2 linked regions of the Neurospora crassa OR74A genome follow. The protein of the gene in region 1 purifies or fractionates together with the protein of each later gene. This does not show direct contact. Links are inferred from orthologs where the notes say so. Each region holds a gene or a part of one and is shown on either strand. Other genes may lie near its edges.

Region 1 (4,376 bases):
GACTCCATCGACGGTCACCATACAGGCAGCCGCAACTTTCACTTGATAGAGGAAACCGGAAACTGTCCGTTTTGTCATGTATCCATCAACATTGAAGTTATGGCGTGCATAAAACACCTGGACTATTTTACCCAGCAATTGCTCATGCCCGGATTGCTTCAGCGAGAGTGTGTTGGTGTGCTTTGACTGAAGCTGGAAACAACTGCCGTGTGTTATATGGGGAAACAGCATTATAGAGGGATAGAAACATGAAAGGAAAAAAAAAAAAAAAAAAAAAAAAAAAAAAAAAAAAAAAAAAAAAAAAAAAAAAAAAAAAAAAAGGGCCCGTTGTTTACGGGGGGCAAGCGGAAAACATGGAAAGCAAACAACATGGACCGCGTGGTAGGATCGTTTGTAGTGAGTGTATAGTACCTCGCGAAGAGACGAAAAGGACCGTACTGTGGCTCTCCTGGTATCATAGGATGTGTATCACAATTGCTTGGACGTCTGAACCTAGAGGTAGTAGAATAGACCTAGGTACCTAACATGAAGGACAGCACCAGCCATCAAGAAGGGTATCACTACCTTTACCCACAGATCCTCCATTTGGCAGGGCATGCGGAAGTGATGGCGCGTGTATTCTGAAAATGTTCTCCAGGAACGACCAAGCTGGAGTTCGGTAGTTTCACTTGGGTGTAACTTTCGTGCCATAGAGCATCGAGTAAAGTGGTGCCGAAACCTCACCTGAATGGAACAGGTCATAAAAATGGATAACCTCAGGTCTGTTAGGATGGCAAGTTGAGCAGAGAACGCAGTGGTGGACGTCGCCCCCGGTCCGATGTCTCTTGTCCTGAGCGTCGTCGGGGTCCTATGTCGTTGACGTTGACGTTGACGAAAAGGCAAATCGGGCAGGGGCCTTGGCCGTAACTTGGCGCGCCGCTGACTGGCCCTTGCCGCGGCTCGAACAAGGGACAACAAAGCCTAGAACACCGGGGGCCGCAACCTGTTGGGGGTGTTGGAGATCGGCTGGCCGCCGTGATAGGGCCCGTTAACATCTGATAGGCTCGCCCTGGTCCCTACGGGGCTTACGGGTACGGTCACTAACGTCTGTCACCGAATGTCACCGAGACTCTGAAGGGAACACGGCCCCACGGCGGGGCTCCGCTGTTCAATGTTCGGTCCCCTCGAGGTCCTCCGCTGCCAATCTAGAATAGAGGTCCGTGTGGCAGAGGTCTGAATCAGCGAACGGACAACCGCCGCGACCTCGAAATGCATAAAGCCTCCAAAAAAGTTAGAGATCGCCCAAACGGAAGGCGAACAACTCGTCCGCGCCGTCTTGCTGGACTATCTCTAGGTGTTTTTTTAAGTGTATATTCTACGGTCATATTGCCCATTAGTGCAGTCCTCGTCACATTGTTTAGCTCCCGTCTGCTGTTTGGTCGGGTGGCCAGTGCCCGTGCCAATGCCCAATTGAATATCGATGCTGCAGTGACATGTCGAAAGAAAAGGAAGAAAAAAAAAAAGAAAAAAAAAAGTGTAGGTAAGAGATATGGAAAAAAAACCAAAAAAACCGAAACCACGATACCTGTGGAACCGCGTCCGTATCGTAACTTTCTTCGCGTCCACCTTCTCTGCCATTCTCCATTGTCCTACTTTTCCTCCCTTTCTCCTAACCCACCTCTCCCCTCTTTTTTCCTCTCCCCCCCGTCAACCACACTCGCACCGCCTTTGCCAATTCCTTCCCTGAGGGTGCTTCTCTTCATCGTTCACGTTCCTGAATTCGGTCGATTTTTATTCTTCTTGGATCTCCACCACGGCGTGTGCCCTTTGTTCCTCGCCGCCGTCCAAAGCAACATCGCATTGTTGTCCCATCGTCACGGTCTCCCTTCGTTGGCAACCTGCGATTCAAGATCTGATATCTTCCGCCTCCCGCCCCCCCGTCCCTGAGTCGCTTTCCACCACCACCTAGGACTCAGCAAGAAAAAGCGTCGCTTTGTGTTGCACTGTCGAATTCTGCTCTGCTTCTGCCAGTCGAGTTTCTACCTTTGCGCAATCACCATTGTTGTGTTGCGCCAGATCGATACTCCCCCAACTCCGCCTTCGCCAACACACAACCAAAGCTTACGAGCTCCGCCTCTCGCAGCTTCGACACCAAGCGTGACCCGTTTCGAACACCGAAAAAAAAAGGTCCGCCTCTTGCTCGCAGCGACGACTCCAGTCCCCCGGGAAAAGGAGCCAGGTAACGAAACGAATCCCACACCGCTTTCTGCAAACCGCGATCACCTGTGACTTTCGCTAGTCATGGCCAATCCGTTGCAGCTCGCCTACCGAACCCAGAAGGCCATCGGCGTCTTTGATGCCGACCCTGTCTACGAAGCCCTTCCTGGATTCACCAAGCCCGAAGGGAATCTCCGGTGCTGTGTCTACTCGGGATGCGGCCGCTACTTTGCCTACGCCACTAACGAGGGCGTCGTCATCGTCGACGCGTCCGTCGGCCACGTCTTGACTTCGCTGCCCATCCCTGCCGTCTACGAACTCAGCTTCTCCCCCCACGGTACCTACTTGAGCACCTGGGAGCGCCCCGCCAAGGATGAGAATGGCGATGCTACCAAGAATCTCAAGATCTGGCGCACCATTGAGGAGCTCGCTGATGGTGCTGAGAAGCAGCCCATTGGCAAGTTCGTCCAAAAGTCTGCTAATGGCTGGAACCTGCAGTACACGGAGGATGAGCGCTTCTGCGCGCGCATCGTCACCAACGAGGTCCAGTTCTACAACAGCAACGATCTCGGCACCGTGTGGAACAAGCTGCGCGTTGAGGGCGTCTCCGACTTTGCCCTCGCGCCCGGTAAGAACCAGAACGTTGCTGTTTTCGTCCCAGAGCGCAAGGTACGTTACCTGATCTCCCGTATGCATCGCACTTTTCTATATCAACGTCTAACTGTTGGTTACAGGGACATCCCGCCTCCGTCAAGGTCTTCAACGTTCCCCAGTTCACCAGCCCGATTTCGCAAAAGACCTTTTTCAAGGCCGACAAAGTCCAGCTCAAGTGGAACCAGCTCGGAACTGCTCTGATTGTGCTGGCGCAAACAGAGGTTGACAAGTCCAACAAAAGCTACTACGGCGAGACCAACATGTACCTCCTGAGCGCCAACGGCTCGTTCGACGCTCGCGTCACTCTTGACAAGGAGGGCCCTATCCACGATGTGTCGTGGTCCCCCAACTCCAAGGAGTTCGGTGTCGTATACGGCTACATGCCCGCGAAAACCACCATCTTCAACCACCGTGCCGTCGCCACCCACTCCTTCCCTCTTGGCCCCCGTAACACCATCATCTTCTCGCCTACTGGCCGGTTTGCCTTGGTTGCCGGTTTCGGTAACTTGGCTGGTCAGATCGATGTTTACGACCTTGAGAAGGATTATCGCAAGATCACCACCATCGAAAGCGGTAACCCCAGTGTCTGCACCTGGTCTCCCGACAGCCGTTACATCTTGACGGCCACTACTTCTCCCCGTCTTCGTGTTGACAACGGCATCAAGCTCTGGCACGTTGGTGGCGGTATCATGTACAACGAGGACATGGTTGAGTTGTACAACGTTATCTGGCGCCCTGTTCCTGCTAACAACCTTCCCAACGTTGACCCGCTGCACCCCGTGCCCACTCCTCACCCTTCGGCTTTGGCATACCTTGGCACTGTCAAGACGCCTTCCAAGCCCGTCGGTGCCTACCGCCCGCCCGGCGCCCGTGGCTCTTCCACTCCTCTTCACTTCAAGCGTGAGGACGAGGGAGGTGCCGCCCACTCGGTTAGCAATGGCGTGCCTCAGGTCGGTCCTAATGGGTTCGGCCGCCCGCGCCGCCAGATTCCTGGCGCCGAGTTTGCCGAGCCAGCGAGACCTTCTGTTCCCGGCGCCGCTGTGGACGATGAGAACTTGTCCAAGACTGCCTTGAAGAACAAGAAGAAGCGCAACAAGAAGGCCAAGGAGGGCCAGGCACAGGGCGAGGGCGCGACTACTCCTAACGAGGGTGGTCTTGCCCCTCCCCGCGAGTCTGTCGACGGCCGCAGCCCCGATCGCAACCACCAGCGTCACCACTCGCGCAGCCAGTCGCGCAGCAACAACCTGGCTGTCCGTACTCAGAACAACCACCGCAGCCGCTCGAACGTGCGCCAGGCCAATGCCCCTGCTCAACAGGCTGCCCCAGTCGTTGACGCCGCCGCAGCGGCTGCCCAGAGCGCCAATGCGAAGAAGATCAGGTCTCTTCAGAAGAAGATCCGCGCTATTGAGGATCTCGAGATGAGACATGCTGGTGGTGAGAAGTTGGAGGATACCCAGTTGAAGAAGATCGCCACCAAGGGCTCTGTGATTAAGGAGCTGGAGGCCCTGGAAAAGGAGGGTCATTAA
Region 2 (4,330 bases), on another chromosome or scaffold:
GATTCTATACCTGAAGAGAATCCTGAATGGTTGTTGTCGTCCATCAACTACAACAGGATGGTGCCTTTTTGATGTCCAATTCAATGACGATGAATACGGGTTCTATGGCCCATGCCCGCCCCGGCCTACTCACAAACACGAAGGCCAGAGGTCAAACAAGCCCTGGGCTGGCAAGGCTAGTCTGGGACACAGCCAAGCAGCGTCGTCCGTCAGATGCCTGCTCCCGCCTTGGTTCCTTCCACTTCACTTGACTTCTTGATTGAGTGATTGTGGTGTCCGCCGTGCCAATTGCTGCGCTAACGGTGGTGGAGGTAGTCTTGATATATGAATATCTTCATACGAGTTCCTTCCTTTTCCAGATGAACCCAGCAGCAACTCGGGTGGGACTGGTTCGGGTATTTGTATCAAGCCGATCTTGACATCTTGTTCTTTTCCATGTTAGACTTGACCCGGCACAGGGACCAATCACCACAATGGGACCAACCTCAACAGACAGCAGCCGCCATCAGGACCAAAACCTTTTCGTCGAAATGTTAGGATGTGTCATTACGCTCGAACTGTTCGAGTACCCAAGATGCCCTGTTCCAGACTTTGGTTTTTGCCGCTGGCTAACCAGTATATGACTGCAACATCCTGGCAGGTCATCCGGCCAAGTTGCCCCATCCAAGGTTCCGTGCGCGGCTTTGCCAACAATGTCTTTTTTGCAGGTGAAATGGACTGCGAATGCTGATACTCAGGACATCCGTTTTACTTCTCTATTTTTGTCTGGTGTGAAATATGCCCGTGGCACGAATGCAGCAGCAATGCCGTTTGCTAGCGGACTTCCAGAAAGGTAAGGCGGTCGTTAGCATTGTTCCATGGTGATGGGACAGATGCCAGCGACCCAGTGCCAAAATCCGGCACACCGCTGTAACCTATTGCATCTTCAACTCCAACCGCCAACTGAGATGGAATGTCCCGTGATTCAATACAAGTGAATCTCGCCGGTTTATACCAAATAGGTACGGCTGAAACGCAGGGTTTCATAACAACCCTCCAGGGTTCATGAATAAGTGCCCATGTCTGCCTGTTGTTGGCATGAGTCGTCGTCAGCCATGGTCGACCACAGTACCGTAAGTATGCTTGATCTCAGGTGGTGGCCCGGGAGCAAGTGGAAGTGCCAGGCAAAGTTGGAAGTCGCACGTTTCGCTGGATCTCCGGTCTGGTCTGCAGTCTGCACAGGTGGATGGATGCCTTTATGCGAGAATTCCTGGCGGGTCCTATCGATAAATCAAGGTTTTGCAGCCCATGCCACCCCGATACCCGCATGCCCTGACCGCCCTAGCCGCACTTCACCGGCTACGAGGGGCGCGGCACAGTGCGCAACCACAAGATGCGTGGGCGGGAAAGAAAAAAAATCTGACCTCCGCATTAAGACGTGAGCCATCCGGGCGTCGTTGCTTCTTGCCCTCTTTCTCCTCCTCTTCTTTCTTCAGCGGACCTCACGCCCTTTATCCTCAGGAAACTCCTCCAAACCGAAGCCAGAAAGAAGTCAGATAAGTACGAACATTTACCCTCTCGGTCTCTGTTCTATCTACTTCTTGTCTGTGACAAACAAAACCTCACCAAAAAAATTTGAAAATCGCCGAAAAAAGAGAAATCCCCCCCATCCATACAAAACCCCATAAAACCCACCAAATCCACCCACCTTTTTTGGAAGACATTTACCCAAGTCTCCAAGTCCACCAGTCTTCCTCTCCCTCTCCCGAATCTCGTCCTTGACCAGTCGAGTTCATCCTCCCTCTTTGTCAATACCGTCGCCCGTTCTCCGCGCCGGTTTTACTTGCTCCACACAACTCTAGATCTCGGGTACGTTGCTCGTCGCACTATCAATTCCTCCTGCCTTGCCATCGTCGTTGTCGTCGTCGCCGTGGCCGCCGCCAGTGCCGCCCGCCCAACGTCACGTCAATTGAGACTTGTCCTCTCCTCCTCCTTTCCGCTGTCGTCGTCGGTCGACACATCGGTTACCCCTCGGCGCCTTGATCAGAGACACAGACACACACAAAAGGATACGGACGCTGACAGTTCCATCCATCATACAGAATCTACAGTTTAACCAGCAAAAATGGCTGCCACTTCTACCGCCGCTGTCGACCAGCTCGCCGCTGACCTCGGCAACACCAGCCTCGACAACAAGGCCGCTGCCCCGGCCCCCATCGACACCAGCGCTGTCCCCGAGGCCCAGGCCGAGGGTGCTGAGGCTGCTCCTACCCCCACTGCTGCCCCTCACCCCCAGGCTTCCGCCTCTCTCTATGTCGGCGAGCTTGACCCCTCCGTCACCGAGGCCATGCTCTTCGAGCTCTTCTCCCAGATCGGCTCTGTCGCCTCCATTCGTGTCTGCCGCGATGCTGTCACCCGTCGCTCCCTCGGCTATGCCTACGTCAACTACAACACCACCGCTGACGGCGAGAAGGCTCTTGAGGAGCTCAACTACACCCTGATCAAGGGCCGCCCTTGCCGCATCATGTGGTCCCAGCGTGACCCCGCCCTCCGCAAGACCGGTGCCGGCAACATCTTCATCAAGAACCTCGACGCTGCCATTGATAACAAGGCTCTTCACGACACCTTTGCTGCTTTCGGCAACATCCTTTCCTGCAAGGTTGCCCAGGATGAGCACGGTAACTCCAAGGGCTACGGTTTCGTCCACTACGAGACCGATGAGGCTGCCTCCCAGGCCATCAAGCACGTCAACGGCATGCTTTTGAACGAGAAGAAGGTCTACGTTGGCCACCACATTCCCAAGAAGGACCGCCAGAGCAAGTTCGAGGAGATGAAGGCCAACTTCACCAACGTTTATGTCAAGAACATTAACAACGAGGTCACCGACGAGGAGTTCCGTGAGCTCTTCGCCAAGTTCGGTGAGGTCACTTCTTCCTCCCTTGCCCGTGACCAGGAGGGCAAGTCCCGTGGCTTCGGTTTCGTCAACTTCACCACCCACGAGGCTGCTGCCCAGGCTGTTGATGAGCTCAACGGCAAGGACTTCCGTGGCCAGGACCTCTACGTCGGCCGTGCCCAGAAGAAGCACGAGCGCGAGGAGGAGCTCCGCAAGTCCTACGAGGCTGCCCGCCTCGAGAAGGCCAACAAGTACCAGGGTGTCAACCTGTACATCAAGAACCTCGGCGATGATGTCGATGACGACAAGCTCCGTGCCATGTTCTCTGAGTATGGCCCCATCACCTCCGCCAAGGTCATGCGCGATTCTCTGATCGAGGGCTCCGAGGAGAAGGATGAGAAGGACAAGGAGAACAAGAAGGAGGGTGAGACCAAGGAGGAGGAGCAGAATGAGGGCTCTGAGAAGAAGACTGAGAAGAAGGGTGACCGCAAGCTCGGCAAGAGCAAGGGCTTCGGCTTCGTTTGCTTTAGCAACCCCGATGATGCCACCAAGGCCGTCACTGAGATGAACCAGCGCATGGTCGATGGCAAGCCCCTCTACGTCGCTCTTGCCCAGCGCAAGGATGTCCGCAAGAGCCAGCTTGAGGCCAGCATCCAGGCTCGCAACCAGCTCCGCATGCAGCAGGCCGCTGCCCAGGCTGGTATGCCCCAGCAGTACATGCAGGCTCCTGTCTACTACGCTGGTCAGCAGCCTGGTTTCATGCCCGCCCCCGGCGGTCGTGGCGTCCCCTTCCCCCAGGGTGGTATCGTCCCCGGCGTTCAGGGTGGTCGCCCTGGCCAGTACCCCTACCAGCAGGGTGGCCGCGGTGGCGTCCCTCCCCAGCAGATGCCCCCTATGGGTTACCCCATCAACCAGTTCGGCCCTGGTGCTTTCCCTCCTAACACCCCTCAGTACATGGCTGCTATGGGCCAGGTTGGTGCTCTTGGTGGTGGCCGTGGCGGTCCCGCTGGCCGGGGTCCTCAGGGCATCCCCGCCGGTATTCCCCAGGGTCTCCAGGGCGGCCCTGCCGTTCCCGGCTACCCCCCTGCCGGTCGTCCCCAGAACGGTGGCGGTCGCGGCACTCCTCGCGGCAACGCTAACTTTATGGCTGCCGGCCGTGGTGCCTCCCCCATTCCTGGCGCTCCTGCCGACCTCAGCGCTGGCTCTTTCCTCCAGGCTCAGCTCGCTACCACTCAGGATCCTCAGGCCCAGAAGCAGATCATTGGCGAGAACCTCTTCCCCAAGATCCAGGCCATCCAGCCCGCTCTTGCTGGCAAGATCACCGGCATGCTCCTCGAGATGGACAACGCTGAGCTGATCAACCTGTAAGTCTACATGTCTATTCCTGACTCTTCTACATATCGCTAACCTGTCTCTCTGTAGGTTCGAGGATGACAACGCTCTTAACGTCAAGGTCCA

Evidence for each region.
Region 2: the proteins of NCU06099 (region 1) and NCU04799 purify together in Saccharomyces cerevisiae (affinity purification with mass spectrometry; 3 studies listed by BioGRID). This does not show direct contact. The link is inferred for Neurospora crassa OR74A from reciprocal best matches to the Saccharomyces cerevisiae genes YGR054W and PAB1.

Annotation. Positions count from the first base shown.
Region 1 is NC_026507.1:1,796,931-1,801,306, reverse strand, and holds the start of NCU06099 (hypothetical protein), read left to right. Parts: upstream 1-1,523; 5' UTR 1,524-2,280; coding exon 2,281-2,865; intron 2,866-2,930; coding exon 2,931-4,376. UniProt on the Saccharomyces cerevisiae protein: Functions in the early steps of protein synthesis of a small number of specific mRNAs. Acts by directing the binding of methionyl-tRNAi to 40S ribosomal subunits.
Region 2 is NC_026506.1:863,814-868,143, reverse strand, and holds the start of NCU04799 (polyadenylate-binding protein), read left to right. Parts: upstream 1-1,434; 5' UTR 1,435-1,848; intron 1,849-2,081; 5' UTR 2,082-2,104; coding exon 2,105-4,236; intron 4,237-4,294; coding exon 4,295-4,330. UniProt on the Saccharomyces cerevisiae protein: Binds the poly(A) tail of mRNA. Appears to be an important mediator of the multiple roles of the poly(A) tail in mRNA biogenesis, stability and translation.